4 linked regions of the Caenorhabditis elegans genome follow. The protein of the gene in region 1 interacts with the protein of each later gene in a pairwise test. Each region holds a gene or a part of one and is shown in the gene's direction. Other genes may lie near its edges. The genes, in order: sma-1, C09G1.4, lec-1 and tag-343.

Region 1 (8,080 bases):
CAGAGGTCAATCTAGAGTTTGTAGTTTGACCTACAGGAGGGTCCATTCGACTGCCATTGTAGTCTAGTCCGCAAATTTGCGTCACTGTGCTGGTGGAGAGCGGGAAACGGGAGAGGTGAGAGGGAGAACACCCTTTTTTCTCCCGCGTAGAAGACCTTTTTGAAACACAGCCCAGTGTCGAGTCCGTAAACACCGGCACGCTCAAGTGAACGTTTTTTATCAAGGCCGCGTTTTTCGAATAACATTTCTCAATAGTTTGTGGTTTTATTAAATGGGTTTCACGTTTTACTATAATAAATAATTTTACTTTCAAAATAAAATTGATGACCATAAATAGTAATTTCTGGTTTTTTTTCAATCTTCGACTTCCGATTCTTTGTAAGTTACGGTTTAAATCTGTTCATGTAAGCTTATATCTTTTGTAGATCTATAAATGATTTGTTTTAAATCTATAAGATTTAAAATACACAGTTATATTTTACGTGTTTGACAGCAATATTAGCTTTAAAATGAACCTAATTAGATCTAGAAACCGATACTTGTGCTTTCCATGCAGAATTTGAAGAACGAAGTGTTTCTAGTTTCTTCTCGTAATGAAATTTACATGGGATTTTTCACTACCCCTGTAAAATTGATTCTTATTTTATCACTCAACTTGTTTTTGAAATTTTGTTTCCCACCTCTTGTAAATTTGAAATTCTATGTATCTAACGGGCAATGTCCTTGGGAATGTGTGCACGTGGTATCTTAGACAACATAGGTGTTCTTTTTATAATCTAGACAGTGTTCCTTCTAGAGTAATTCATACTTCACTAGTTGTTCTGTTTATAATATACTGATATACCAAGTGATGGTGACACAGTTTTTAGAGATAATCGACGCTTATTCATCAGTTAAATTTCTGAAATATGTAAATCTGCGCTGCGCAACATAAACCCTTTTCGATGAAACAAACCCTACAGTGTCTACTTTAATTTATGCGATTTTTCTTCCGGTCCTTCATTCCTTCAGTTTCCGACATTTGTAGCACATCTGGCGACGATTCATACCGACCCTGTAGCACTTTTTTGTTCAATGTGTTCGGCACAAGGTTATGCGCACTTCGCCTCTTTCTCCTATTCGCTAATACTAAACGAAACTTATCGCATTTACATTCTCACACTTCCACTTTTCAAAAAAGTAAAGAATACTACTTGTAAGGTGGTAGTGGACGACTGTCGGTGTCGGTTTTGTCGAGATTTCGTCTTTCATTCGACTGATCGGACAACTAGATACACTGAATTAGGTGGTGAAAGAAACTTTTCTTTTGAAAAAGGAGAGACCTACGTTTTTCTTGTCCGTTTCATTTCACTGCCTTCTGCCAAAATATGTGTGTTTTCTCACTGTTTTATCATCCTTTCAAAGTCTTGATTTTTTGGCTCGCAGTTTTTATGGTTGTCGTGGAATTGTTTGGTTCTCTGTTCCTCTTTGCCACAAAAAGTTTGTTGACTGTAGGTTAAAATTCAGTACTCTTTTAAAGATTTTTTTTACTGTAAACTACACGATTGTGAAAGAAACTTAGTCGTATTTTGTCAGCTTCAGATTTCGGCAAATGTTTGAGTCGGGAGTACAGCTCTGTTTATCTACATTTCCATTCTCTTTTCAAAAGTTGTTTCCCAAAACACCTGTCGACCTGTTACCCGTCCATAAATCATGCCAATATCATTGTCAATATGACGGCGTTTATGGTCAAGTATACCTCAACGAAATGCGTCAACTCTGACGCATCCGTGTTGACAGACGAACTCAACTCATCATAAGTACACAAATGGAAACGTATACACGCGTTGAATGAATAGATTGAATTCCTAGAAATGGGTGTGTTTTTTCCTTGAAGAATTGATCCATATGCGTTGTCGAAAAGTTGTTCTAAAATAATTTTCTGAATAACTAGAAGTTTTACAGTAATTAAAGTTTTTCGTTTGTTCAGAGATACTTAGTATTCTTAAGTTGCCTGTGCATATTCCTGTCATGCCTGTTTAAAGTAACTCCAGTGGGATTAACTATCAGAAACTCTCCCTAAAATAATATACGAATATCATAATAAGACTTTTATTTGAAAAAGTTTTTTGTAGGCAAACACCAAAATAACTAAATGTCCTCCACTCATAATTTTTGAAGTAGTCCGAAACATTTTAATATTCTCATATTTGGATTATGTTTTAAGCATTTTATAGGTCCAAAAATGAGGCATTGTTTTAAACATTTCCAAAAACCGACATTTTCGAAAATTGGCAATTTGCCAAAACTTTGAACAAGAACATGTATGATGTCTTTTTCTAGAAGTCAACAAATATTGTCAACAATAAACAAGAAATCATAAAAAACTATAATAATAAGTGGGCTGCTCATGGATAAGAACAAAAAGCGGTGTTCTTCCTGGCTCTTGAAACAGACATGTTTGAACTCAAGTGCCCCACTGTGGCGGTCAGCTATTTTTGTGTTTGTCAATTTCCGCCACCGGAATCCTCGATTTCTCGCCCATTTCGGCCACCACTCAATTGTTGCCGCCGCTGAACATTCCTTCCGTTCTTTTCCCGTCAGGCGAATACACATATTCGATACTTTTTATCCATCGCGCCGATCGATGGATGTCTTCTAATCGTCTCCGACACTTTCTCCGTTACTTCTTTCTCTCTCTCATCATATTCGGATAGTATTGTATAGAGAGACTCGGCAAAGGATAAACGAACGCCGGACGTCGTTGCAATTGAACACAGAAGAGATAAAGATTATATAAGAAGTTACCTTCTGAAGACTGAGGAGGAACCACCACGGCTACTGTCCGAGTGTCGCCGTGTTTCCTTGACCCTTTTTCTCCATATCTGACAAGAATCGAACACGGATTGTCAAGACTGTTCATAACGGAGGAAATACTACCACTTACTATTTTTCGACTTTGCTATATACATAATATATTCTTGCTAATATTGTGAAGCTTTATCATGTCGTATGTGTCGTTCGCGGCAAGCTACTCGCCTGGAGAAGGCAAAACAGTTCGAAATCTCAATGGTATGTGCTCTTTCATTTTAAATTCTTTGTAATAAGTTTTTCAAAAAAATTCTGAAATTATTAATTTGATTTTGGGCACATCAAAGTAGGTGCAAATTAGTTTCTGCAAACAAATTTTCTAAATTTTTATATTTGTGTTAAGTAGTCTTCTAAATTTTGGCGCTTGAATATATAATAGATCGAAGTAAAAAATTGTATGAATATTGCTAATTTTGGTGTTGTTGTGTTATATGCATTCTTGCACATTCTCACAGTCTGCTGCATTCCTTTCTCTCTTTATTTCTTCGTTCTCTCTATATGGAAGTGGCGAGAGGGTAAATATGCAACACTGCATACCATCAGTAGAGCGTCCATAGAGCCGTGAAGGAAAAGGGCACAGTGATAGGTGGTAGTGTTGAAGTGTCAATACAATTTAGTACTTTTTCTCTTTCCACATATTTTTGTCGCTATTCTAAAGTGAATCATTGTCCTCTGTGTCATTTCGATTTGCAATTTACCAAGTATGAGATATTTATGTATCTGTCTTATTGGGATCTCTATGCTGTGACAGATTGCTTCACTAAAATAAACAAAGTTCCAATAGCATTCCCTCCGTTGTCTAATCCATTTTCTGTTCTCACTTTTTGCCCCCTGGGTTCGTCTTTACTAATGAGTTCAGCAACCATCCCGCGGAGCACATTTCAGTGACTCATTCTTCTTTTTCGCAGTGATAAGACGCTGTTATCAGATGTAATAAACACGGGGAACGCCCCCACCTCCACAATATACCTTACTTTTAAAATTTTGAAAATTTTCGTGACGTTTCGAACTTTCTCTGCTTTTTTACTTGAAATTTAATCTGTCAATGTTTTTTGCTGGACATTTATAGCGATTGCTAAACACGTCTCTTTTTTGTTTAATTGCAGAATAGTTCCAACATTTTCTCAGAAAAAATTTCATTCGAAAAGCTTTCCAATTATTCCATTTTCTTTTTTGTAAGCCTTTTCTGATTCCAGTTAAATATTACTAACTTTGTTTGTGTCGCGTCGTCGTACGACATCCGACGTACAAATTCTTAATAAGTCATATTTCACGTGAACATTATTACGTGAACTTTGCCCACACACACAGAAAATAGTCGCACACATAGGAATGCCACGTGTACCACGTGTGCCACTCTTTCACTGTTTATGTTCGGCGAAACATTTCTTTATTTCAAAAATCTTTCACTTTTCTTGAAAGTATTTTGTTGCTGGATACAATTTCCCGTTTTAATTGTAAGTTAGGTTCAAACTTTTTCTCTGAAAAACGATGTGATTCCAAATATTAATAATCTTTGTCTTTTTTGTGCCACGTGGGCGTCTCTGTTGCATATCATTTTGATCATTATTCTCTTCAGAAATGTATATATAACTTGTCTTTCTTTTTTCTCTATCTATTAGTCACTTAACTACTCAAGAAACTTTCAAATTTATCAACTAAAATGTATATTTTTCAGACAAGGTAGAAGGGTATCGCAAGGAGATTGCCCCAAGTCGCGAAAACGTTGACTTCGATCACTTGCGAAGAACACCTAGAGATCCTTTACCGGAGAACGACTATCAGGCGACGAGCAGTACTGGATTATCGAGTGGGGAAGTAAAACCCTACCAGTACCGCGACTATCACCAACATCAGAAGCACGAGTATTACGGCGAAGGAGTGAACGACGGTGTATCTGAAGACAACGTTGAAGACAAAATGAGAAAATACGAAATGCAGGCAAGTTTATATTTATGAACTAGACAGGCTTTTTAAAGTAGCATCAACCTGTAGATCGAAAATGAATGTTTAAACCTATTATGATTGGATTTTAAGATAATCCGATTACGCGTTTGAAACATAAATCCCAATTTTGCCAATAGTCAAGCCAACACATCTAATATTTTTGTCAGATTGTAGTAGTTGTTTATATTTGCTCTAAAAGTCATGCCGAAAAAGTTAATTTATTCAATATCTATGAAATCAACAGCTTCATCTCCAACCCCAAGTGTTAGAACATTACCTGAAGAACAGGTAGTTGCTGTTTTTTTGTTTTATAAATTGTTCATGACTCATGAACATTTGGAGATCATTCATTTTCTTAAAGTAGTCAGCTGACGTGCTCTCATACACTCTATGTTATTTCTGTTTATCATTAAGGTCGGCAAGCGTCTCTCCCGGTTAGGAAGGCTATGCTGTCAAAACGGAAAGACGCTGAGCTAGTAAATATTTGTTTTTCCTTATATGTAACAATTTTGGTTCCGTAATATTATTCTGGAAAGTTTTAAAGATCCGAAAAAAAACTGAGAACGTTTAGAAATATTTAACAGTTCAATTAGCATCAAGTTCATAATGATTTTTTCAGGTTCGTGTTCCAACAAGTGGTGCACCACCAGTTCGCGCAGATGCCAATGGAACAGATCAAGACGAGTTCAATAATGAGACACTGTACTTTGAAAGATCACGCATTCGGACACTGCAGGACGAACGTGTGCACATTCAGAAGAAGACGTTCACAAAATGGTGCAACTCCTTTCTTAATCGGGTAAGTTGTGATAACAACTGATTGGAGTATTTGATTCTATAACGGCGGTCATCGTTAACACGAGAGTGAATAAGAGAGACGGGTAGAATTAGAGGGAATAGGTGAGGGAGAAAGGTTCAATTAGTCGGAAGAATTGTTTACGGAAAGAGAAGAGGATAATGCAACGGGAAAGTAATGCGGACCAAGATGACCTTGCAAATTCCCTTATCTTTATCTGGAGATCAGTTTGCATGCAAGAACGAAAGGAATGTTCGGATGAAAACCAATGAAATCAACTGAATTCATTCGTTGCATATGGGGTAGAACCAGTGCGGAATTTGTCAAAATACACTTGATATAGTCTAAAAGAATATATTAACGTAATTAGAAATTATAAATGTTTTTTTAGAGTTGTAATTTTCAATCTTAGCAAAATGGCAACATTTTGCAAAGTTTGGGGTTGAAAAAATATAATTTGAAGATTGGTATTTGAAATCTTATCATAGTTAATCACAAGGGTAATTATAAATATTTGAAAAAATAAGAATATAAATTTTAACTTCCAAAACTGTGACTTGGTATTAATATAAGTTTAGGAATTAAAACCATATAAGCACAACAATTTTTCAGGCAAGTTTGGAGATTGTTGACCTTTTCGAAGATGTCGGCGATGGTATTATGCTCATGAAACTTCTTGAAATCATTTCCGGAGACAAACTCGGAAAACCGAATCGTGGCCGAATGCGTGTGCAGAAAGTGGAAAATTTGAACAAAGTTCTTGACTTCTTGAAGAAAAAGAAAATCCAATTGGAAAATATTGGAGCCGAAGACATTCTTGACAGAAACGAGCGACTTATTTTGGGTCTCATCTGGACGATTATCCTCCGATTCCAGATTGACACTATTGTCATTGAAGTGAGTTTAGAGAAGCCATTGTTTGTTTTAGTTTAAATTTTTCAGGATGAGGAGGAGCGTGGAGAGCGAAAACATGCCAAAGATGCCTTGCTGTTGTGGTGTCAGAGAAAAACAGCTGGATATCCAAATGTTCGCATCGAAAACTTCACTACAAGTTGGCGCAATGGATTGGCTTTCAATGCACTTATCCATTCGCACCGTCCGGATCTTGTCGATTTCAATCGTCTCAATCCAAACGAGCATGTGGATAATCTGAATCATGCGTTTGATGTGGCTGAAAAGAAGCTTGAGATTGCACGTCTTCTTGATGCTGAAGATGTTGACGTTACCAGGCCTGACGAGAAGTCAATCATTACATATGTTTCCTTGTACTATCATCATTTTGCAAAGCAAAAGACTGAGATGACAGGAGCTCGACGTATTGCTAATGTAAGTGTTTATAAGTTCATGAAAAAAATTAACAAATTGTTTTCAGATTGTCGGAAAACTTATGGTTTCGGAAACCATGGAAGATGATTATGAACATATTGCTTCTGAGCTTCTCAATTGGATTCGTGTTACTATCAAGACATTGGAATCACGTCGTTTCCCAAACTCTCTTAATGGAATGCGCGAGGAACATGCCAAATTCAACCAATTCCGAACAAGTGAGAAACCACCAAAGTACAAGGAGAAGGGAGAACTCGAAGCTCTGTTCTTCACAATCCAGACTAAAAGAAAAGCGATGAGCAGAAAACAATATCAACCACCACAAGGACTGTTCATGCACGATATCGAGTCTGCTTGGGCACAATTGGATTATGCCGAAAATGAGAGACAAGTTGCTATCATTGCCGAGCTTCAAAGACAGGAAAAGTTGGAACAACTTGCTCAACGATTCCACAAGAAGGCCAAGTTGAGAGACAGTTGGCTCAGATCAGTTCAAGTGGTTCTTGAAGAGATGGAACACGGTCGCAGTGCATCACAGGTTGAAAAGACGTTGAAGAAGCAACAAGCAATTTCCACTGATATTTTGGCTCGTGAAGATCGCTTCAAGATGTTGACAGCAATGTGCAATGAGTTGTGTACTGAAAAGTACCACGAATCTGACAAGGTTCGAGGAATGGAACGAGAAATTATTGACCGATGGACTCAGTTGCTGACTTTATTGGAACAACGTAAGAGAGCTCTCATGAGTCTGAATGATCTGATGTCGTTGCTTCGTGATATCGACACCCTTTCAAATGAGCTTTATTCTTTGGAACCAGCTGTCAGGAACCGTGATGTTGGAAAACATTTGATTGGTGTTGAAGATCTTCTTGGAAAACATGATCTTCTTGATGCTCAAATCAATGCTCATGGAAGTCTTCTTTCCAAACTATCTCAATCTGCCAACAACTACATTCGGCACAAGGAAGAGCAATTTGATGTATTGCAAAGAAAACTGGATGAAGTCACTGCTCAGTACAATACTCTCGTTGAGTTGTGCCGTTCTCGTCGTCTCGGTTTGGAACGTGCTCGTTCACTCTTCCAGTTTGTACAAGATCACGAAGAAGAGATGGCTTGGCTTGCAGAAAAAGAGAAACTCTGCACAACTGCATTGAACTCAGG
Region 2 (7,985 bases), on another chromosome or scaffold:
ATTTTTTTAAAAGATTTTTCATAATTTCCTCTCAACGTTTTGGCAAATTACCAAAATTTTGAAAAAAATATGAACTTTTGAGGAAATCCAAAGCATTGTCGCATGTTCCGACCCCTACAATGTTTTGATACGAATAATTAAAACAAAATTAAAGTAGAAAAATGTAGAAAAAAAAACATTTTTTTCCGTCGACTACAAAAATTATGAGTGGCAAAAACTGAGTAATTGTCACTTTTTGACAGTAAATAAAAAATTTTCAAAAAATTTTTGAAAAGTTTTATTATGATATTTGGTCATTTTGGCAACATAGGAGTGGTTTTTAACAATTTACCCACTGGCGCTACTCCACCTTTAAATATTGCAAATCAACATAAATATTATCGATTCTGTACCTAAATTCTCAACTATTGTCATCTCGGTAGACATGTTCTTTCAGTGCAAACTTAGAACCGGCTCTGCCAAAGATCACTGAATATATTAATTTCCTGGGCCCATTAAATATGCATCTATTCCTACTTGAAAACGTAAAACCTAAGAAATATTGAATAGCAAACGAAATAGGTGGTACATTTTTCAGCGTCTGGGGATGCCCAGCATGTAAAGTTTACTTTTTAATTTTGAGATGAGAAAACTGGTTGATATGATTTCATTTGCCAAAATTTGGAAAAATATGAACTTTTGAGGAAATCCAAAGCATTGTCGCATGATCCGACCCCTACAATGTTTTAATACAAATAATTAAAACAAAATTACAGTATCAAAAATGCAGAAAAAACTAATTTTTTTTGGTCGATTTCCAAAATTATCAGTGGCAAACACTGAGTAATTGCCACTTTTTGACAGTAAATGAAAAATTTTCAAAAAAATTTTTGAAACGTTTTATTATGACATTCAATCTTCCGGGCACCATATGAGTAGTTTTTAATACTTTCCCCACTGGCGCTACTCCACTTTTAACTTTCCTTTACAGAAAGAAATGACGGAGTTAATTTTAGAATAGTTCATAGTTTGGTGTTTTAAGGTAATTTTAAACTGTAGAAATTTTTTGGAGGATTTGGAATTTTCAATTTAAATTTTTTAGATCTTGCTGATCACATGCCAATTTAGAATCCATATACCCTACTTATATATAAACTTTATTTCAGTTTCTCTGAAAATGTTCTGATGCTTTTCTTCTGTTTTTTACTAAATTCAATGAGTACAGCAAACTAAAAAGATATACTTGAACAAATGTTATACTTTTTTATAGAAAAATCGTTGACTGTTTTCAAATGGCTAATAGTTCCTAGTTCAATAAAACAATCCAGCCAGTTCAAAACTTACCGAGCCCACCACACCCAAACTCCCTCTCAGCTATTCCTGATATGGAATGGCAATTCAATTCAAATCAGTACAAACATTTGAAAAGAGAAAAGTCTCGGAGAAGAGGGAGTGCATCATGAAACGCGTCACTAACAATCAGAGGGGACTAGCAGGTTTCCGGTCTTTTTCGAAGAAATCAAGCTTTATGATACGATAACTATAGTGAGCCCCTATTTTTTTCTCGGCTTTTGAAATACTATTTGAAAAATAAAATGGTATGACGTGCATAGATGGTCCTATCAGATTTTTTTTGTGGCGAAATAATTTAACATCTTACTATTAGTTCTGTTAATCGGAACGCATTTATTACAAGTTTTCCGACAAATTGAAAAGTATTTTTTTACCCATTATCTATTACCCGTTGCATAAATTATCAATCTTTAGTTTTGTTCGCTATTTTCAGTATTCTTCTTCTTTCTTTTTCTCCCCATTTTTTCGCGATAGATTTATGTGTTTCCTGATACATCACGTACATCCTGCTGCTTCGGCTCGCACAAAAAGAGAAGTTCGTCGCTTAAGAGTAAGTACATCATTCACTAAGGCATCACAACCATCTGGCGAGATTAAACATGTGTTTAACGAGAGGGGGACGGGATGGAACCCTAACTTTTGACGTGTGTGTGTGTCTACCGCCATTCGGGTGTTAGATTACCAAGCAATAATGCAAATGGGTTTGGCGGTTCAGATACTGATCATAAGTGAGTCACATTTTTGGTATTGCGGTAGTTTTTGAAGTTTAGAATTTTGAAGTTAAATTTTTCATAGTCCTCTTTATAGTCATTACCCTCAATTTAAAATTAAAACCCAATGACAATCACGAAAAAGTTTGCAATACCAGTGGTTTTATTAAACATAAATATTAGGGCTTTCATGCAGGCGACGTCTGCCTCGTGCCGCGAGCCGCGCCTCCTGCTTAGTGCTGCGCGGAACCCGAAAAGTGTCGGCCGCTTCCATGGAGGTCCTAATAGTTATCATCAAAAGCTTTTGGGGTCTCTTCTGAACAATCTCGCCATTTCTATGTTTTCGCCAAAAAATCCTAGTTCTATGTAATGTTTACACTGTATTCAAGTTCGTTTTTTTTCACTTTTCCAGAACATTCCTTGCTTTTCTTCTGTACACCCACTCTTCTATTTTTTTTCTTGTTATCACATTGTTCTGAACGACTGCATTGTGTGTTGTATGACCTTTTCCTTTTCGTGATCAATCCGTCCCTGGGGACAGTTCTATTAGGTCGGTGTGCCCACGAATGGTGTGCATTCTAGAGATAGTAGTGAAGAAAAACTGTTTTTTTTTTGCTTCAAGTTCGAATGCCGAAGTTGGTGTTCAAACATTGAATTGTCAATGGGGACACAAGTTGTTTTTTGTTTTTTTTTAATAGAAAGTTTTAGGTGCATTGTTTGGTTATTTTGGAAGAAAGCTGTATTTTTGAAAGCGTGCTCTTAATCTTTTTTTCCGATGCTCTTTCAATCAGTTTCCTTACTCATCATAGTAAAATCCGATATTTCTAACAATACGAGGGTAGCTATTTTTCACTATTTAAAGATTAAAGGGTCAAAGGACGATCCGTTCTCCAAGTGCTATGCACTGCGGATCTGGGACTCAGGTACACTGCCTGGTGGTGATCCCACTGGGTTGTAATTTAAGCCACGTCCGAGCCGGGGACTGTGGCCGATAATCCAGTCTTGGATTGCTCCACTTCCCAATAGGGGCTGGGTGAACCTAGGAAGTGAGGCCGGACTTGAACTCGTGACCTCCAGATTGCTAGCGGCCACCACTACCGACTGAGCTATTTGCCCCCTTATATATTTAATTACTCTTGATCAAAACACACCTAAAACTTCCAAGACGTCAGTACGTGCACCAGTGCCAGTCACGATTGTGTCCACTTTACATATATATCCAATTAACAGTGTCACTTTTCACATCTTTACGTCCATCTCGCTTTTTTTTCGCCTTCTTTTTTTCCCCTACTTTTCCGCAGCCCCCAAAAATTGAGAACATACCTTAACTAGGCCGATTATATCCCATCAGGTCTTTGATGTTATCATTTGTTTCTTTACCTCTGATATGTTATCTTTTTTTTCAAATTGTTCTCTTATAAACTTACAATTTTCAGAGACACAAATCACAATGTCTTCTGGAAATCGGCAGGCTCCAATGCCCCCACCAAAACCTCGAAATTTGGGGCGTGGCCAGTTTTATCAACAAGGAGGTACGTCATAATTATTTCTCACTTTTTTTTCCAAATTCAAAATTAATTTCTTCTTTTTTGCACCAGTCATTCAGTATTCGCTCGTCATCTACAAATAGAAAAGGGAAAAATTATGAATTTTCAATAGACGTACCTTTTTTTGAATACGTGTCTTTTTCGCAAAAAATGTTTTTTTTCTGTGATTTGTTTCTAATATTTTTTGTAAGAGCAAAGTTATTACCTACCATATGCCTAAAATAAATGTGGAATACTAGATTTCGAACATGGTGCATCGACTGGAAAATGTTTTTGGCGCTTGTTGCTTAAAAAACAGGTTACAAATATTTATTCACGTTTTTTTTGGAACATTTACTATGTAATACATAATTTCTTTTAACCGTTTGAACAATTTTTTTCCTGTTTTTTGCTCTAGTCATTTAGTATTCGTTCATCATGAATTATTTCCGAGCTAAAAGAGGCAAATTATGAATTTTTCAAAAACGTACTTTTTCGAATGCAGTGGTGTAGCCATTTTTGCACAATTATGTTTTTTACATGTTTCTATGAGTTCAGTTCAGCCACAGTTTATGGATACAGATATTCATAATATGAAAGATATTTTAAACACGTAACTACTTCTGGAGTTTTTTTTTTTTTATTTTTGTTTAGAATTGTGAATATGCTCCGAAATCGGTCTTTGCAGAATTTTCAAAGTAACATATTAAAAAATTATGAACATTATATTTTTTTCGGTAAAATGTTTGGTATTTTTTAACGGAATGTTTTAAAAAATTGCAAAATTTTTTCGCTATTTTTCTTTAAAAGTGGAGTAGCGCCAGTGGGAAAGTTGTTAAAAACCACTCCTTTGGTCCCAAAATGACCACATATCATAATGAAACTTATTTATTGTCAAAAAGTGACAATTACTCAGTTTTTGCCAATCATAATTTTGGAAGTCGACCAAAAAAATGTTTCTACATTTTTTATACAGTAATTATTTGGATTAAAACATTGTAGGGCCCGGAACATGTGAAATTGCTTTGGATTTCTTCAAAAGCTCTTATTTTTCAAAATTCTGAAAATTTGCCAAAGTTTAACCGGAAATTATGAAAAGCCTGAAATTTTTTGAATTGTATTATTAAGATATTTGGTCTTTTTAGATCATAATGAGTGTCTACTCCATGTTTAAATAATACCCGTTTTTGCCTATTCCCCAAAACTCCAGTGGCCATTAATAGTCTGCAAGAACTAATTTCGGAAAATTTAGATCTGAAAGTCATTGAAACAAAACAAACTCTATTAAAATTTTAGGAGCGCATTTCCGCTATTTAAAACTTTTCAATCGTCTCTGTGAAATAAATGTTTTCAAATTAGGTAAAACGTTAGGTAAGTCTTGAGTAATTCTTAGTTAGTGTTGAAAACGTTAGTGTAGAAAAAATTTTTTTTGGAGCAATTGAATTTAACTGCTAAATTGTGCGTTTGTATTCCAAAATTTTGAAGCGAATCTAACAGATATTTGATCTCTGGCTTTCAATTGCAAAGTAATTCTCCCTTTTTTGTCGCTCACCACAAAGCGTCAAGTTTTCTCAGTTTCAGTGTAACATGCCATACACACCAAAACGACAAGCTTTTCAAAATAAGAAAAACGGAAAGTGAGCAAGTGACGCGGCGCGCGGTCAGCGTTTTTTTTTGTAACCCATCTCAAATGCCAAGTCTCTGTGTTCGTGGACCTTTTCAAGCGAGACTATGTCTGTGTATGTGTGTGTGCCTTTTTCATTTTTGCTCCCGAAGAGCCCAGTACTACACATTCAGAACTTTTACACTTCTAGCTCGGCACCATGTGCTGATCTTGGTCCAACAAACCCCAACAAAAGTGCGTTCTGCGTTTTGCCCGCAACCCATTCCTGCTTATTGCATTTTGAGGAAGAGCATTCAGACAGCGCCCATGATGCAGAATATTTGCGCGTTTTTTTTGAGTGTGTAAACGGAGAGCCCATTCTGAAAATAATCATTGGTTGCTGAAGAGGGCAAAGAATCGTAGCGCTACCAGTGTTTACTTGAGCTTGATCTTGGAATTTTGATTGGAACCTTTTTGATTTGAAATATAATTTTTGAACAGTATACTGAAAAAGTATGAAGCTCAACTGAAGCATATTGAGCTGAAAAAAGTAAATCTGAAATGTTCAGCACTTTTTTTCTACTTCCGATGTCTTTAAAATTGCTTTAAAAATATACTTACAGTCAACCATTTTAGAAATGCAAAACAATTTTTTCACTGATTTGTTTGATAAAAAAAACCACGTGGGGTCAAAGTGTCCCATGTTGGTTTGATCTTCAAAAAATGCGGGAGAACTTTTCCCCTGATTTCGTATGGCTAACCATGTGTGCTGACGTCACATTTTTCTGAAAAAAAAATTCCCGCCGATTTTGTAGATCAAACTGTATTAGGACAGCCTGACACCATTTGAAAATGATGCAAAAGATTTTCAGATCGGCTTCAAAGAGCTTCAGTTTTTCTTCAGACTTCAGACTTTCAAAGATATAGGCATTCCCAGTGCTCCTCGAGAGCATGCCTCACTTCTCCGTGTGGTCGAACCGAACCACTTCAACCCTTAACAGGCACGAGGGAGTGGACGAAAAAAAAAAAACGAAAGAAAAATGTGCCAAAACTTTTTTTTAGTGAGGGATGGGGTGTTGCACTCTCGTTTTGCCGTCCTCTTTCTTCTCCCCTGCTCTCTACTCTTCGGTAGATGTCATCAATAATTCTGTCCAAACATGCTTTAAACTCATTGTTCTTCCTCTCCTGATCCCCTTGTTGCTGCCGCCACCAAAAAACGTCACGTTCCACTTCTTCTTCCTCTCCTGCTGCTACTTTTTGCAGTTTCTTTTCGCCTATACATTTTCATTTTTTTGTCGGCGGTTACTACCGCTCCAGCTCCTACTTCCATTTTTTTCATTTTCATTTTATCTCATTTATAATGCGGACATATCGCGTTTCCCCCCAAACAGACCCTTTTTTTTTGGTTTAAGGCCGTGAGAAATAGAAAAGAGAGAGGAGGTGGAGAAGTAAAAGTAAAGTAAATGAAATAGCAGAGGTTATTGCACTTTCATATTTTTTTTCATTTGCAGGGTATCTCACCCCACAAGACAGCGACACGGACAGTGGCATAAGTGCAGATTGTGATCAAGGTTCACCGAGAGCAGCTGCAGGGTTTGGTGGAACAGGGTTTAACGGTACTGTCAACGGACAGCAAGTGAACTCCCAGAGGAGGATACCAGGTGAGATAATGGTATTGGTATTTCTAATGTTGAGGCAAAAAGGAAGATTAAAGTTACATTGCTAGTGGAGTCAGAAAGTCTCATTTCGCTTTGATCTACAGAAAATGCGGAAGGTGAGACGCAGACATCTCATCTGATTTGGCATGGCCCAAGAGCGTGCTGACACATTTTGACACATACAAATTTTTAGGGAAAAAATCCCGCATTTTTTGTAGATCAAACTGTATTGGGACAGCCTTAACTTCCCGTGAGAGGGCAAGAGTTTCTATAAACGGTTCAATTATTTACAAAAAAAACTCAGAAGTGTTGCTAAAAATTTGGACGGCCCATGTCGATTTTTAACACGATACATGCGCAATATTTGCATAGTTTTTAGTGGATGAAATTGTCAATAAAAAATTTTTGAACTGCGGTACTGTTTTGTTATCAAATCCTTACATCTTCGTAGTCACCTTCCACATTTTTCAGATCTCCCCCCTGGAGCATATCAGAACTACCGTAGTCACTCATCGGCCGACTACCTCACGCCAAACTCGGCGCGCAAGATTGCCAGCTACAGCACCACACCCCGACGGCTACCACTGCAACCCCAACAGCAAGCACCTGCAACGGCCACGAAGGCCAAATACCGAGTCAGATTCGCCGATGAGGTGGACAGCGGCGCGTCGACGTCAAGCGGAACCTCCTCCACACACATTTCGCCGAGAAACGATCCACAGGAGATGCTGATGAATTCAGGTGAGCACGGGTTGCAAATTCTATAAATTAAACTTTTTAAGTAAACTTTTTTTTTGCTCGAAAAAACACTGCTCAAGTTGTAACTAATTTATGATTGATATGTGTGTCTTTACTTTTTTCGGGTATACACTATGCTTCTGTATTGAATTTATTATATATTTTTCTGGAGTAGTAAATTATATTTTATGTTTACTATATTTATATTTATTTTTTGTAATTGTAAAGTATTAAGTCAGTTCTCTATACAAGAACAAGAGTGGGCTATTTAGCTTAGGTTGTTAGTTTTAGACCCCAGATTTAGGCCCTATAAAAACTAATATTTATAAGTATGCTAGAATCCAAACAAAAACCTGAAAAAAATCCTTTAAAATATCCTCAATTTTACCCTAAAATTAGAATGTTTAAATTTAGTTTT
Region 3 (8,073 bases), on another chromosome or scaffold:
GTGCTGGATTTTAAATTTTTGAGAAATCGGCAAATTGCCGGAATTGAAAAATTCCGGCAAACCGGCGAATTGCCATAATTGAAAATTTCCGGCAAATCGGTAAACCGGCAAATTACCGTATTTGAAAATTTCCGGCAAACCGGCAAATTGCCGTATTTGAAAATTTCCGGCAAACCGGCAAAAATTGCCAGAATTGAAAATTTCCGGCAAACCGGCAGTTTTCCACCCCTGGTTTAGTCCCGATAGTTCCGTTCCACACATTCCGAATAAGGCAGAACGTAGTAGTACTCTTCAAACTTTTCGATGAAAAAGTATAATTGTGTGACATGAGGTGGAGGACGCGGGATTTCCCGCCACATTTCACTTGATACTCGTGCGCGCACACACACACACACGCTTATTCGCATCCATTTTTGATGTTTGAAACGTTTTCCAACTTTTGGTTTCACAATACACACGAGCGAGCGAAGCCAAATGAATCGAAATTTGGGTGTGTCGTGTGGCTGAGGCCAAGGCAACATTTCAAAGTATTCCCGATTTCAACCAGATGGATACCACATGTGTCGCGCTTTTTCGATAGTGTTTCTCTATTTATGAGACACTGTGACATAGCAAACATCTGCACTTGAGAAGGAAAAAATGAACACTTGGGCTCTCTCGAGAAACTAAACTCATTGGATTATTTTTCTCTTTCGATTAGGCGCTTCGTATTGAGTTTCAAACAAAAAAAAAGACGAAAGTTTCAAATTTGTTGCGTTTTTCGAGGTTTGTGTTCTTCACAAAAGCCACTTGAAAAACCAAAAAAAAAAGCCATTTTTGCCAAAAAAAAAGACAGAATTTTTTTTCAAAAAAAGTTTACATTTTGGAAAAATACCCCAAATGTTCTTATAATCTGAAATGCTGCCAACTTGTCCTTGGCGCAGAATTTTTCTTGCATATTCAATGCGACTTAATCATATGTGGGCGGCAATTTCCATTTTTTGTCGACAAATTCGGCAAATTGCCGGTTTGCCCGAAATTTTCAATTCCGGGAATTTGCCGATTTGCCGGAAATTGTCAATTCCCACAATTTGCCGATTTGGCGAAAATTGCCTATTTCGGCAATTTGCTGGTTTGCCGGAAATGTTCATTTTGGTAAATTGCCAATTTGCCGGAAATTTTCAATTTCGGCGATTTGCCGATTTGCCGGAATCGCCAATTCCGACAATTTGCCGGAATCGTCAATTCCGACAATTTGCCGGAAATTTTCATTTTTAGTTTTCCGGCGAATTCGGCGATTTACCTGAAATTTTCAGTTCCGGCAAATTGCCGATTTGCCGAAAATTGACAATTCCGACAAATTGCCGGTTTCCCGTTTTGCCGGAAATTTTCTTTTTTGGTTTTCCGGCAAATTTGGCGATTTGGCGGACATTTTCATTTTGGCAAATTGCCGATGTGCCGATTGGTCGGAGATTGTCAATTCCGGCAAATTCCCAATTTGCCAGAAATTTTCATTTTGGCAATTTGCCGATTTGCCGATTGGCCGGAAATTGTCATTCCGGCACTTTGCCGATTTGCCGGAAATTTTCATTTTTGGTATTCCGGCAAATTCTGCGATTTGCCGGCTGGCCGATTTGCCGGAACTTTCAAATTCCGACAATTTGCCGATTTGCCGGAAAAAACTCGTTTGTCGCCCACTCACAAATTTTTAAATTGAACTTTTTTAAATTCTAATTAACTTTAGAACCTTTAAGAAAAATTTTGAAATTCTTGCTCAAATATTGACATAAACCGCCTATATACAGTACCTCATAAAAGCCTAGAAAGAATATGTATTCAAATTCAATCATAAATGTGTCACCACCTCATCATAAACAAATCTCTTCTCCCCTCCCATATTTTCTCACAATTTTATCACCATGGTTTCTTCTTCTTCTTCTTCTTCAGAGAGAGAGAGAGCGTCATTTCTCACACACACACACAAAATTTTCCTGCATCTCTCACACACGTTCTGTGCTCTTTTGTCTCTTGTTTACACGTCTGTTGTCTCTCGGACTTTATTTACGAAATGCTGCGTCTCTCCTGCCCTTCTCTCTCTCTCTCTCTATTGCGCCCAGAGACCACACTTTTATTGCCATTGTCGTCGTCGTCGTCGGAAATTTTCTCGCTTTTTCATCTTCTTCTTCTAAATAATCATGTTTTTAAAATTCAATTTTAATTTCAGGAACCACCGAAAAGCCACCACCAGCAAAAAATGTCCGCCGAAGAGCCAAAGTCCTACGTGAGTTTCGTTTCTAACGGTGTTGTAACAACAACAAAAAAGAAAAGAATAGAAAAAAAACCGTATCAGTACGGGGGTGATGAAAGTGCGGCGGCGGCCCCAGTCAAGCGTAAGAAATAATGAAAAAGAAAGGACAGAAACTTTTGGAGAATTTGCCCGTTTCTGTAAGTGTCACCTCTATAGTTCACCACCGATGTTTGGACTACTACTACTACGTGTTGAATCAGAAGGAAGATCAGACGCCGCAAAAAATATATTTGTTGATAGTTGATTTCGAAATTGTAGTTCTTGACACTGATGATTGATCGTTAAGTGAACAATTTTAAAGAAACGATTTTTGCATAACGTCCAGTTTGCAGCAATTCTACAGAATCAGGTTGAAAAGCTTCGAATTTAGAAACGTCTTCAGCTAAAGTGAGACCAAAATGTTTCCATCAAAAGCTCAAAAGGCATTTTTAATCTCTTTTTTCCAGCTTGAAACAATTTCCAGTTGATCTTTAAGATGCTTACCACTCGAATTTCAAATTGCTTCTGCAGTCTTCTATGTTAAGCCGTGTCTCATCATGAATGTCCTTTCTCTTCGATGTCTTGTGCCTTCTTGAAAATCTTCCGACGAGTAGTAACCTCCTTTTTCTCGAATATAGAACAACAAATGGCAGTTTGGCAATTTGGCAATTTGGACAAAACACTAGTACACCATGAGAACCTGCCTAAGATCAATGCCACATTTTTTCTCGCCTTGGCCCTAGTTGTGCAACACCTTTTCAACGTTTGAAGCAGGGGTGGGCGGCAATTGCCGGTTTGCCGGAAATTTCAATTCCGGCAATTTTCCGATTTTCCGCAAATTTCAATTCCGGCAATTTTCCGATTTGCCGGAAATTTCAATTCCGGCAATTTGCCGATTTGCCGGAAAAAAATCGTTTGCCGCCCACCCCCTGGTTTTTGAAGTGCATTTCGAGCCTTTGAAGTTGAAGTTTGCACGTGACGCCCAGACTCGAAATGCGGTAAACAGTAATGCGAAGACGCAAATATTGAGCATGGATTTTGCTCCGAAAACTTTTGTTGTTTGAGTTTCAACAAATCATACAAAAAAAATTTCGAGCTGAAAACTGTACCAACACTCATTATCGATCTCTTCCTCTCCAGAAAGTTCCGTTCCTTTTTTCAATTTCACTGTTTTCTTCGCCTACAACGACACGATGAATCATGGCGAGAAGTCGTATGCGAGAGACTGTACGAGAAGTCGGAGACACAGACAGATGCACAAAAAGAAACATTTCAATGTCGCCTCGCGCACATGCTGTCACCCTCCCATAATTCCATGCTCTCTCTGACTCAATATTGGGCGGCGCTTGCGAATGTTATGACTGTTCAACTGTCTGGTTTCTCTCTCCTCTCACACTCTCAGCTTTTGTTGAAACTGTTTACCGGTCGTCAGTTCTTCGTTTGACTCGCGTCCTGAACGATCGCTTTCAGTTTTCCTCAGCTCAACTCTTTACACTAATGTCTTCCACTCCTCAATTCCTTCGCTGGTACGAGCAGAACAAGGTAAAGCATGCCTCTATACATGGGGGTGTCAGGCTGTCCCATGTTTGATCTACAAAAAAAAGCGGGAATTTTTTCTCCTGCAACTTTTCGGAGATCAAACTGACATGGGACATTCTGACACCAGCTCGAAAATGGAGAGCATTCCAAGTTTGTTGGTTGCCACTAAAGTGACACATTCCTCTCGTTATCTGCTCGCCCACACCTTCGGTTCCATTATCAACATTCGAGATTCCCGCCATATTTCTGGTGTGTTTGCTCGGCGGCACATCACAACAAAATTTTGTGCAAAATGGAGCAAAATGGAGCTAAAAAATAGAAAGCAACTAGACAATGTAGAAAAGGCATTTTTTGTCGTCGTCAGCTGTATGAAAGTCTGGGGAGCGCGAAGATTGGTGGATGCAGATTGGATAACAGCTCTTCCGCTTTTTCGGGTCTCGCTTCTTGCTCGCTTATTCTGTTCACCAGTGTGTGACACGCGAGGTCCCCCCCCCCCCCCAGCATATATTTCTACATGATTACCCTACTGAACATTTTAAAATGGCATATGGAAGAAGAAATGGTTCTAGAAAACTCTACTTATAAATCTATTACCGAAACACAAAATTCTGAGAATGCGTATCGCGCGACATATTTGACGCGCAAAATATCTCGTAGCGAAAACTACAGTAGTTCATTGTTCATTACATGACTACTGTAGCGCTTGTGTGTCGATTTACGGCATTTCACAAGCGCTACAGTAGGCATTTAAGGAGTTACTGTAGTTTTCGCTACGAGATATTTTGCGCGTCAAATATGTTGTGCAGTACGCATTATCAGAAAAATGTGTTCCCGTAATAATCCAATTAATTTTTTAAAAAATTAAAATTTTTAAATTTTTCAGCCAGTACCATACCGCTCAGTGCTCCAGGAGAAGTTCGAGCCCGGACAGACGCTCATCGTCAAGGGATCGACGATCGACGAGTCGCAACGCTTCACCATCAACCTTCACTCGAAGACCGCGGATTTCTCCGGAAACGATGTGCCACTCCACGTCTCTGTCCGCTTCGATGAGGGCAAAATTGTGCTCAACTCGTTCTCGAATGGAGAATGGGGAAAGGAAGAGCGCAAGTCGAACCCAATCAAGAAGGGAGACTCGTTCGACATTCGCATCCGTGCTCACGACGATCGCTTCCAGATCATCGTCGACCACAAGGAGTTCAAGGACTACGAGCACCGTCTGCCACTCTCCTCAATCTCTCACCTCTCGATTGACGGAGATCTCTACTTGAACCACGTTCACTGGGGAGGAAAGTACTACCCAGTACCATACGAGAGCGGACTCGCCAACGGACTTCCAGTCGGAAAGAGCCTCCTCGTCTTTGGAACCGTTGAGAAGAAGGCCAAGCGCTTCCACGTCAACCTTCTCCGCAAGAATGGAGACATCTCGTTCCACTTCAACCCACGTTTCGATGAGAAGGTAAGGGTTGATATATGCCACGAGGCACCACAGAAAGGAGAACCACGACAAAGGAGAACAGGAACCACGTCCATTTTTCCGTGCCGCGAGAGGCACCACATTTTCAGGATCTGGAACCGTACCAACTGCGGTTTTTGCAGTTTTCTCTCGATGAAAAACGAAACAACGATGCTCCGATGTTATGCGTGTTGTTTAGCGTTTTCCAAAAGTTTTTATTTCAAAAAAACATTATTCTGAACGCTAAACAACACGCGACGCGTCATATCGGAGTATCGTTGTTTCGTTTTTCAGCGAGAGAAAACTGCAAAAACCGCAGTTGGCACGGTGCCCCAGATCCTGAAAACGTGGTGCCTCAAAATTTGCGGAAAACTTGCGGCACGGAAAAATGGGTGTGGTTTCTGTGTTCTCCTTGTTCACCTGTTCTCCTTTCTGTGGTGCCTCACACACACATACACAAAAAGACCCGCATTTTGTTTGCTACATTTGGGCAAATATGGCGCTCTTCAACAAACAATTTTATGAGACACAAAAGTTTTGCATGTGTCTATTTCTATTGGTAAAATTGGTGAAAGGACAAAAAAAAATCGATTTCAATAGAAATTTGACCAAATTCTTTATTTCCTTTCTTCCAGCACGTCATCCGCAACTCTCTTGCCGCCAACGAATGGGGAAATGAGGAGCGCGAGGGAAAGAACCCATTCGAGAAGGGAGTCGGCTTCGACTTGGTCATCCAAAACGAGGAGTACGCGTTCCAGGTGTTCGTCAACGGAGAACGCTACATCTCGTTCGCTCACCGCGCCGATCCACACGACATTGCCGGGCTTCAGATCTCTGGAGACATTGAGCTGTCTGGAATTCAAATCCAATAAATTATGTATTGATATCCCCTGTTCCCCCTCTTTCTTCTGTTATCCAGCTCTCCCATTTCTCTCTCTCTCACTGATCAATCTTCCAAAAGTCTACTGCCCCTCTCCCCCCCCCCCCCCCCCAAAAAGAATCATTTCTCTATTATTTCGCACCGGCAACTGAACTGTAATCCCGCGTTTTTCTTTTTGTATCTTTTCTCACCCCCCACATTGTATTTTAATAAAATTGGATAGCAGATTTTCTCGTTGTCATTTCAGGTTTCATATTTTGAAAGCGGATCATCATGAAAAGTTCTGCGAAAAAAACGCGAAAAGTAAGCGAAAACTCGAAAAAACTATATTTGAAAGTACCGCCGTTTTTGTCCAGGAGAGCGCGTTTTCCTCGAGTCACTACAAATTGCACGGAAGTCGAATCGTGAAAACCGCGCGTGTTTCCCATCAGGTTTGCCTACAAAATTTAGTTTTCTTCTTATTGTTAAATCAATAATTATTATAATGTATAATGTGAAGCTCGAAATCTTGAATAATCCTGAATAATCCTGCTATAAACTCGGGTTTCTAAAGTTTTCCTCAGGATTTTTGTTCCCTGGAATGCGTGGTGTCTCCCATTTTTTTTTGGATTTTTGGATTTAAATGCATTTTTCGCTGTTTTTTCTCTCAAATAAGCCGGAAAAATTGAAAATTTTCAGTTTCCGATGAGCGCCGACACGTCGGCTCGTCTTCTTCAGCTTGACCCTCTACTCGAAGCGAAAAATCCGAATGTTCGAAATGAAGCGGCCGCTGCGTTCGGGAAATTGTCAATTTTAAGTGAAGACGTGAAAAATGTTGGTTAATTAATATATATTTTTTTTAAATCACAAGAAAAAGTAAAAAATCACGGGTGAAAAGCGAGTTTATATATTTTTTTCCCTCGAAATGCCGAATATTAATTATAAAATTCAGTATTTTTGGGTTATTTTGAGTATTTTGAAGGTGTACTAACGGTTTAGACTCAAAAACCGTTAGTCTTCGTTTAAAATACTCAAAATGCCCCAGAAATACTGAATTTTATAATTAATTTTCGATATTTCGAGTGAAAAAAACATATAAGCTCGCTTTTTTCCGGTGATTTTTCACTCATTTTCAGTGATTTTTTCACTTTTTTCAGGGGTTTATCTTTTTTAAATACTTTAAATATATAAATAATCTTAATTTCAGAGTCTCAAAAAACACGCGGCATCTCAACTCTGGGAGACACGAGTATCTGCTGGAAAAGCGTTGCAGGCGACACTTCAGAATGCTCCAGAATTCGAACGATTGAAGGTTTTTCTGAGCTTTTTGAGTTATGAAATTCTTTAAAAAAATCGATTTTTCAGAATGAAGAAGACTCATCGGTATCGGAAAATGTCAGAAGCATCGTTGTGATGAACGTTTTACGATCGTTCAAGCCACTGTTAAGTGATGATGAGTCGGCACTGAAAAAGTCGGAAAAAGATCGAGGAAATAATCAGAAACAGCGGGAAATTGTAGATCAACACCTTGAATACAATCGGGCCACCGGAATAAGCTCGGTATCGATTTTTCCGGCAGTTTTCTGGGGAAAAAACCAAAAAAAAACGAATCTGGCGCCCAGATTTGCTTAAAAGTCAATTTTTTTTTCAATTTTTCACAAAGTTTTTTGAGAAAATTTGGATTTTAGCTAAAATTTTAGTACGTTTTTCTTGCAAAAATTTGGGGTTTTCTGAGTTTTCGGTTTCTAACCCATGAAAATTCGAATTTGGAACCCAGAAAGTCATTTTTTTCAATTTTTTAGAAAAAATCGAAGAAAAATTGCCGAATTGCCGGAATTGAAAAATTCTGGCAAATCGGCGAAATGCCGAAACTGAAATTTTCCGGCAAATCGATAAACCGGTAACTTGCCGAAATTAAAATTGAAATTGCTTTGAAATTGAAAATATTAAAAC
Region 4 (7,938 bases), on another chromosome or scaffold:
CAAAATTAGGACTTGAGCTAAAATTATATATATTTCGTGCTGAAAAGAGCAGCAATTGTAGAGAAATAAAAATATTAACATGAAATGAGTCTTTTTTTTTGGGCATTTTCACATAATTTTCACCATTAATTTCTCGGTTTAAACAAATTAATTTATCATTTAAGTGCATTTGTATTCAACAAAAACACTGCGTTAAACTTTTTTCCAAACTTTGAACCAAAGTTCAAAGTGTCCATATATATATATCTCCTTACAAATTTTTCATCCGTGTTTTATGCACGTACTATGAATTGATTTACTTTGGCTCGAACTCTATTTACCAAAAGTTTGAAGACCACTGATTGCTTTGTGTACGCTTACTGATAAGCTTTTGACTTTTGATTCCGGAATCGTCTAGATTGATTTGTATTTGAGTGATTCCCATAAGCACGAAAAATTGACAGAAATAAAACAATTGTTCCTCAATTCTATTTCGACATAGCTTTCGCTCCTGATGTTTTTGAGTCAATATTGACGGGAGCCAAATACTAACGTCACTTCTTCCAATATGGCAACTTTTATTTCTTTAATTAGATCTTCTTTTTTAGAATTTGTTTATTTTTATTGCTTTTTTTATTTCTAAATATGTCATTCTTCCAATTCTTCCAATGACTCATTGAACCTTCATTTTCGAAATCGATGAATAGGAGAAACTTATTCGGGAAAAGTGTCACACTATTTGCATATCAAGTGACGCGTTTCTCCTTCCCGCTGATACTAAAACGATATAAAATACCTCGACCTATCAGCCTATTCCCATCAGTACCTTGACTGGCCTCATGACATTTGCCTCGTTTTTATTTCTCCATTTTCATTTTTAATACCTTGCCTATCAGTTTACTTAACCCTCTTCGTGCCGCTTTTCTGACTTTCTTGACATTTCTCAACTTTCAGTTCGACTTTCTTCGCCATGGCCTATAACCCCTACAACGGTTCGTACCCATACCCACCACCAGTCGGATATGTCCCACCACCAATGGGATATGCTCCACCAATTGCTCCAATTCCAATGGTTGCTCCAATGCCAGTTCCAGTTGCACCAATGATGGCTGCACCAATGTATGGAATGCCACCACCAGTTGTTGTTATTGAGGAACCATATCATCATCATCATCACTGGAATCCATTCCACCATCATCATCATTGCTAAATTTTGCCTGGAGTTTGGTTGGGGGTTTTTGGACGTTTTTTTAAATGTGATATTTTGCCCTGATGTATTAAATAAATTGTTTTGATATTGTTTTAATTGTTTCCAATTTATAAATTGCACTAATTCAGAAAAACGATAGTTATCCACCATAATGATGCATGGTTCTACTTGACTAGTAAAATTTAAAACTACGAGTATGCTGTCTGACACATAACTGTGGCATTCGGATGACAAAAATTCAAAATAATTCATGAACAAATACCATCAAAACGTGAATTCCACAGAGAAGGCAATTAGGGCTCAAATATTTCACATGGCATAGAAATACTTCAGTTCTTCTATACGGTTGACACAACCCAACATTCTAAGATACTTAGATACTTACTTACTTACTTAGAGAGAGAAACGTGTACAATGATAGTAACGTCGTTAAATAATATTTAAATGATATAGCACATAAATTTCAGTGTTTCTACTAAGTGGCACAACTATGCAAAAAATGTTGCCGCGAGTTCATAAACTATTTTTGAGAGTTTTTTATTTAGTATTTATGTAATTTGCGCGTGGATCACGATTTACTACCCTCGTTTCTCATTTCCCTTGATTTTTCTCAAAAACCCTGTCGTGAAAATGTCAAAACCCAGCAGAAAGGTAAAAACGAAAATAGGAAATTGTAAGTTTCGCGAGGTAATTAAAAAAAAAAATTAAAGGACGATCCGTTCTTCAAGTGCTATGCACTGCGGATCTGGGATTCAGGTACACTGCCTGGTGGTGATCCCTCTGGGCTGTAATTTAAGCCACGTCCTAGCCGGGGACTGTGGCCGATAATCCTGTCGTGGATTGCTCCACTTCCCAATAGAGGCTGGGTAAACCTAGGGGGTGAGGCCGGACTTGAACTCGTGACCTCCAGACTGCTAGCGGCCACCACTACCGACTGAGCTATCTGCCCCCTCGCATTTAACTAAAATGCAAATATGCTCACTGGTGTGAGTGTCTAAACAATAAGTTTATTCATAACTGTGAAAAAGATAACCTCCGTGAAAAATTTTCTATATCCTACATACAATAGTTTTTTTTTTAATTTATTATCGTTTTCGAGCTAGTAGTCAATTTTTCAGTTATTTGGCTGAGTGTCCACCATAATATTTTTTCAAAAGTTTTTGAGTTTGTAACTATAATTATTAAACAAGTCTTGCAGAACATTCTTAACAAGCTGTACTTCACACTTTATTGCTTTCACTGTACCGTTTCACCATTCAATTTGGGAAGCGTTCGATCAAAAAGTGGTGACAAGGACACCCATACATGTACACCTTATACACTGCAATGGCGTAATAATTATATGAATCGTGTAGCTGCTGGAGGTTATCGAACAAAAAAAACAGGTTTCAATCCTACTACCAAATATGATATGTTCTCTTCTCCTCTATTATCACTATTATCACCCATCATCATGTATCATTTTTCTCACTTTTACGTCAAGACCATAACCGATTTATGACTTCTCAACGCTGATTTACAGCCAACCTAACGGAAAGTATTCGGCTATAAAATGATCAGGTATGTGTGTACGTGTGTTGACAGGAATGAGTTATCAGTGTGGTGGAATTCGCAGTGAGGAATACAATACAAACATGGTTAAATCGAAAATTTCCTGGAATTTTAGTGCTAGCTGAAGATGTTTTAAGTGCCCTAACATACAGTTTCGCAACAGGTCTTTGATTCTGATCTAGTACCGTTATACTTAAAAACATAAGCGGTAGAATAGGAATAAAATAATTATCATTGGTTTTGATGATAAGAACAGTTTTTGTTTCTTTGCGTGTGCACTTTCACAGCTCGGCAACCCCACATTTGTGACTCAACGTGTTTGTGCAAAATGAAATGTTCGATTTTTTCTACATTAGTTTTTTTTTGAAACTTTAAAATATGTTCTTTCTAACTGACGTTGAGATTAGTTCATCCCCTTTTTAACTGACGACTCAATTTATAAAATAATAACTTGCATCACCATATTATCTCTGCATAATTAAAAATGTTTCTTTTATAATAGTTTTAGTGCAGGTTTTCAGTTCTTTAGAGAATATCATCACAATTTAATTAGGTATCCCAGAATTTGCGTTAGAAAAGGAAATATAATTATTAGGAGAAAAATAGATTTTTCAAAACTTCAAGTAAGGTCGTTTGACGGCGACAATCCTTTTTCTCAATTTTTCAGCAGATTTGTTGCAGATTTTTAGTACTTTCTGAAAATAATTTTAAGATCTCAGCCAGATTTAGTATTATGGCAAATATTATTTTTTGGCGATTTTTTAAAATTTTCTCAAAATTCAAACGTAGAAATTATATTTTTCTCCGATGTTTCAAAAAAGTTTTTTTAAAACAATTTGTTTTCATCTTTTCTCGAATGTTTTTTGTAGTGTTGTTGACAATATATAAGTTATCCGAATGCTCTCTTGTTAAATTAATAAGTGCAGGGTAAAAAACTGCTTATTTCAAGGGTTAAATTTTGTGTTCTGGTTAATAGTATTTTAAACCCTACAATTTCTTTTTGCCCTATTCAAAAACTATTGCAGTTCAAATCGAAACCTTACACTTCATGAAAGTTTAACTAAACTGCGATGACCAAAACAAACATTTTGCATATTATACATTTTGTACGCCGCAACACATCCCAACTCAAATAACTGATCAAAACTTGTAGAGCACTTTCCGATACTCCTCTGCTCGAGGACATGATCTCCCCAGACTCGAAATTTGTGGGTGAAGCTCTCGAACAGAAGGATGTTAGGACTGTATTTGTCTCGGCGAAGGAAGGTTGGAGTCTTAATTATCTTGAGAATTTTACTGTTTTTTTTTTCAGACAACGAAGAACGCGAAAACCGGGTAGTCTTATTGTTAGGACCAACAAGTTCTCAAAAGTCAGAACTTATCGATTTTTTGTGTAATTATTTTTATGGAGTGGATTCAATGGATCAAAGGAGATTTCACATTTCCAATGAAGTATTACAATTGTAATATGAAAAAGTAAGTATTGAATTGCAGAAATTCAACTCGGAAACTCCTACAAAACCTGTACAGTGCTATATTTTTAACGAAACAAAAATGTCGGTTCGTCCTGTAATTCTGGATATGATCGCGTGTGGAGATACATAGTAGGTTTTTTTTTCAAAATTGGGAAAAAATCATAAAAGTTGCAAATTCCAATGAGCATAATAAATTATTCTTAGAATTAATGTTAAAACAAGAAATAGGATATCTACCGACTTTGGGTTTCTGGTACAAATTAAAATTAAATTAAAACTAAATTGGCCAAAACTTTACCATTTTCTTGAAACTTAGAGCAGTGTCAAATGTTCAAACCCAGTTATGTATTTAATGTACTATTGAATGTAGGCTCTTATTGGGAACAAAAGGACCGTCCCTCTAAGTCCCTCATAGCAGTCATAATCAAATGTACAATTTTGCTGTGGCGATGGAGAGGTCCATGTCATTTAACCACTGTCTTCTACCATTAGGCCAACAACAGGTCGTAAAATCTCGACTTGTTATCTGGTCGTAAATCAAAGTAAATGTAAACAGGACTAAAAAGAACTCTTCTTGTTTTATAAGGTGTTCAATAGTTTTTGGGGTTTCTAGGGACCTTACTTTTAGATTTCTATAGGTTTTGAATTCATTATTTCGAAATTATATGATTTAAATTATCGGCAACTCTTCTGTTCAAAATTCTAAAATTGCAAAAATTTTAATTGTTGAAGATTTCATAATAGGAGCATAGCTTACGTTTTGCATTTTCTCAGCCATTTTTTTGTGTGTTTTTTAACACTTTATTGAAAATCTTATACTATTTTGTTTTTTTTTAAATACGTGATAATCATTTTATTCCTTCCAGATAAATGATCCTAGTAGTTTAAATAGCCGTACGACGGGTGTTTCTTTTTACAAATTTAGCCAGAACTTGTAAAATCCTCCTCTGTTAGGAGCTTTTATGATGATAATATCTGTCTACTTTGGTTAATCTACTAAATTAAAAAAAATACATAATGTATTTCAATTGTTTATTGCAATGTATTTCAAAATTTTTTAACCACTAACTTTACGAAAAATGCAGAAAACTCTTAAGACAGTAATTTTTACAGTACAAAAAATATACAACTTGGATTAAAAAAATACAATAATAATTAAATTTCAGTGATGGTTTCGATTCGCCATCTTTAATACATAAATGGCTTCTTAACAATTGGAAGATGAGACTGGACGTTATTGCAATTGTGTTCTCACAGTTGCACAGAATGAGCATGCACGAAGAAGACGAACTGCAACAGGTATCTAGAACTTGACTTCAGATCCTACTTTCACATTTCCAGGTTCTCTCCAATCTTCCAGAACATGTACGCAACAGTATTGTTGTGTTCATCACAGCGTCCGACGGCTCCAGAACTTTCGAGCCTCTTTTACGAAGATTCGGTTTATCAGAGTGTCCCAAGTTCACTATCAACACGTCTTGTACATTTCAAAAACAAATGGGTGAGTGTGATTGAAATTTTTGTATTGATTCAGCGTTTGCATAGCTTTCTCGCGCCGTGTTAAAAGTTGTAAACAGACCGAATAGTTTTTGGCATTGAGTGCTCTCGATAAGAATTATCACTTTCCATCTCTCTCCATTTTTCGCCCTCTTTTCTCGTAAAACGTGACGACCATTTAAATCAAACATTTTCGGGCTGGCGAATCGCTAGAAAAATAAACTGCCAATCCGGCGATATTTGTTTTTTCCTGTACCTACCAGTGTGGGAATTGCAAAGAAAACGTTCTAATAATTTCAGAAGATCGGCTGAATGACGAACATCGGAGGAGATATTGGAAAATGTCTGTAAATCAATTCGATTCTTTCATGGAGAAAGTACAGGTACTTTTCAATGGCACTTTTTTGCCTAAATAGGAGATATTTACAATTTGGACCTGGTATCTTTTGAAGGCTTGAAATTGTTTGATTTCTCAGCCAGCTAATTGTTCAAAACTTTCAACTGATATGTAGTTGATAATTTGTAAACAAAAGTGGAGTATAGAAACGTTTTTGTATTGCCTCAAAATACTCATAATAGCTCCCAAAACCTATCGTGATGAAACATTGCAAAAAAATTCACAACTCTTTTTAACTTAAAGGTGGAATAGCGCCAGTGGGGATTTTGTCTAAATGTACTTAAAATTACCCGAAACAACCGAATATCATAATAATACACTCCAAAAATTTTAGGTTTTTCGTAATTTTCAGTCAAAGTTTTGGCAAGTTGTCAAAATTTTCAAAAATACGAGCTTTTGAGGAAATCCAAAGCAATTCCGCATGTTTCGACACCTCCGATGCTTTCATACAAAAAATTTAAACAAAATTAAAACATAAAAAATGTCGAAAAAAAATTTTTTTTTGGTCGACTTCCAAAAATATGAATGGCAAAAACTGAGTAATTTCCACTCTTTGACAGTACATAAAAAATTTTCAAAAAATGTTTGAAAAGTTTTATCATGATATTTGGTCATTTTGGGACCAAAGGAGTGGTTTTTAACAATTTCCAAACAATATTTACTTTGTGGATAGTGGTACATTTTCAGCCAAGAAGTATTGCAATTTTGGTGTCTAAAAACTACTAAACTTAAGAAAATTTTTAAATTTCAGGAAACCACCCCAATCACAATCTCGGGTCTCCCATTTGTGGATGATGGTATCTATGGAGTTCAGGAGTCTGGACAAAACTCGTCAAGAAGCAGTGTTTACTCCTCTAGCAAGTAGGTTGCAGTTCTTTTTTTTTCATTCCATTACATTTCCGCTTTCATAAACTAACACTCATTCTCACTCTATTATTAGATCCACAGTTATCGAAGTGGAGCAAAGCTCGAGGCAACAACAAGTTGGCCGACCGACGGAATCACCACCTCTACCACCTCCCCCACTTCCACTATCCAATCCACCTGCCAAACCAACACCCCCACCTCCACCACCAAAGCCGACAATTCGTCCGCCACCTATTCCGGCATCTCCGCCTCCAAGACCGCCGGCAAGTGAGCCTGTTGGCATACCGCTGTACAGTGAGAAGCAGCATCAACAACAACTTCGTCCAACGACGGCCGTCTCGCCGCCAAAGCCTCCAAGTTTCGCGCCGCCTGTACCGCCTGCTGCTGCTCTAATCACTGACACTTCGACCACCACAAACGCTCTAACAAACGCCATGTTCGAACAATTGAAGCAGTCTAGGTATTTAAAAAAAAAAAACTTTATCAGTATACATATAGACCGTACTAGAATTAACTAACAATGACTTTTTTGTTTTGAATGAAAAAACTTAAACTTTCCACTCAAACATTGAAAAGAAGATAGTAATTTTGTTGCTTTCAAGCTTCTATCGTGGGTTTGAAGCTCAAATGCATGTAGAGAAAAATGAGAAAAATCAAAATAAAGAATTATCAAAACAGAAATATTAACTAACAATTAAAGATTGTAGTAAAATTAAAAAAAATAAACAATTTTTAAAAATTTTTTACTAGCTAGCCACAAAGTAGACAAACAATTACGATAGTTTTCTGTATACTAATTTGAGTACACTGCATATAAACACAGTAAAAAATGCACAAACCTGCAAGAAAAAATACATTTAAAAATTTACAAAAAAAACCGCTTTGAATTCGAAAATAATTACCTGCCCTCAAACTATTCAATAATTATTTTGAAATTATTGAAACAGTGGTCGTCATAATCA

What was found.
Region 2: the proteins of sma-1 (region 1) and C09G1.4 interact in a two-hybrid assay, tested with the Caenorhabditis elegans proteins (one large-scale study listed by BioGRID).
Region 3: the proteins of sma-1 (region 1) and lec-1 interact in a two-hybrid assay, tested with the Caenorhabditis elegans proteins (one large-scale study listed by BioGRID).
Region 4: the proteins of sma-1 (region 1) and tag-343 interact in a two-hybrid assay, tested with the Caenorhabditis elegans proteins (one large-scale study listed by BioGRID).

What each region holds. Positions count from the first base shown.
Region 1 is NC_003283.11:11,896,580-11,904,659, forward strand, and holds the start of sma-1 (Spectrin beta chain), read left to right. Parts: upstream 1-2,869; 5' UTR 2,870-2,984; coding exon 2,985-3,051; intron 3,052-3,328; exon of another isoform or gene 3,329-3,500; intron 3,501-4,528; coding exon 4,529-4,791; intron 4,792-5,416; coding exon 5,417-5,596; intron 5,597-6,205; coding exon 6,206-6,490; intron 6,491-6,535; coding exon 6,536-6,919; intron 6,920-6,965; coding exon 6,966-8,080.
Region 2 is NC_003284.9:15,992,429-16,000,413, reverse strand, and holds the start of C09G1.4 (uncharacterized protein), read left to right. Parts: upstream 1-3,476; 5' UTR 3,477-3,492; coding exon 3,493-3,574; intron 3,575-5,975; exon of another isoform or gene 5,976-6,199; intron 6,200-6,682; coding exon 6,683-6,832; intron 6,833-7,300; coding exon 7,301-7,570; intron 7,571-7,985.
Region 3 is NC_003280.10:13,193,346-13,201,418, forward strand, and holds lec-1 (Galectin), read left to right. Parts: upstream 1-3,600; 5' UTR 3,601-3,763; coding exon 3,764-3,808; intron 3,809-4,688; coding exon 4,689-5,264; intron 5,265-5,896; coding exon 5,897-6,133; 3' UTR 6,134-6,368; downstream 6,369-8,073. Other genes in the region: btf-1 (BTAF (TBP-associated factor) homolog), read left to right, coding at 6,826-6,954, 7,328-7,432, 7,486-7,680. UniProt on the Caenorhabditis elegans protein: Binds galactose.
Region 4 is NC_003284.9:16,670,719-16,678,656, reverse strand, and holds the start of tag-343 (RNA polymerase II-associated factor 1 homolog), read left to right. Parts: upstream 1-3,924; coding exon 3,925-4,006; intron 4,007-4,052; coding exon 4,053-4,192; intron 4,193-4,234; coding exon 4,235-4,344; intron 4,345-5,381; coding exon 5,382-5,514; intron 5,515-5,556; coding exon 5,557-5,716; intron 5,717-6,012; coding exon 6,013-6,095; intron 6,096-6,860; coding exon 6,861-6,970; intron 6,971-7,049; coding exon 7,050-7,436; intron 7,437-7,938. Other genes in the region: F22H10.3 (Spore coat protein), read left to right, coding at 950-1,189.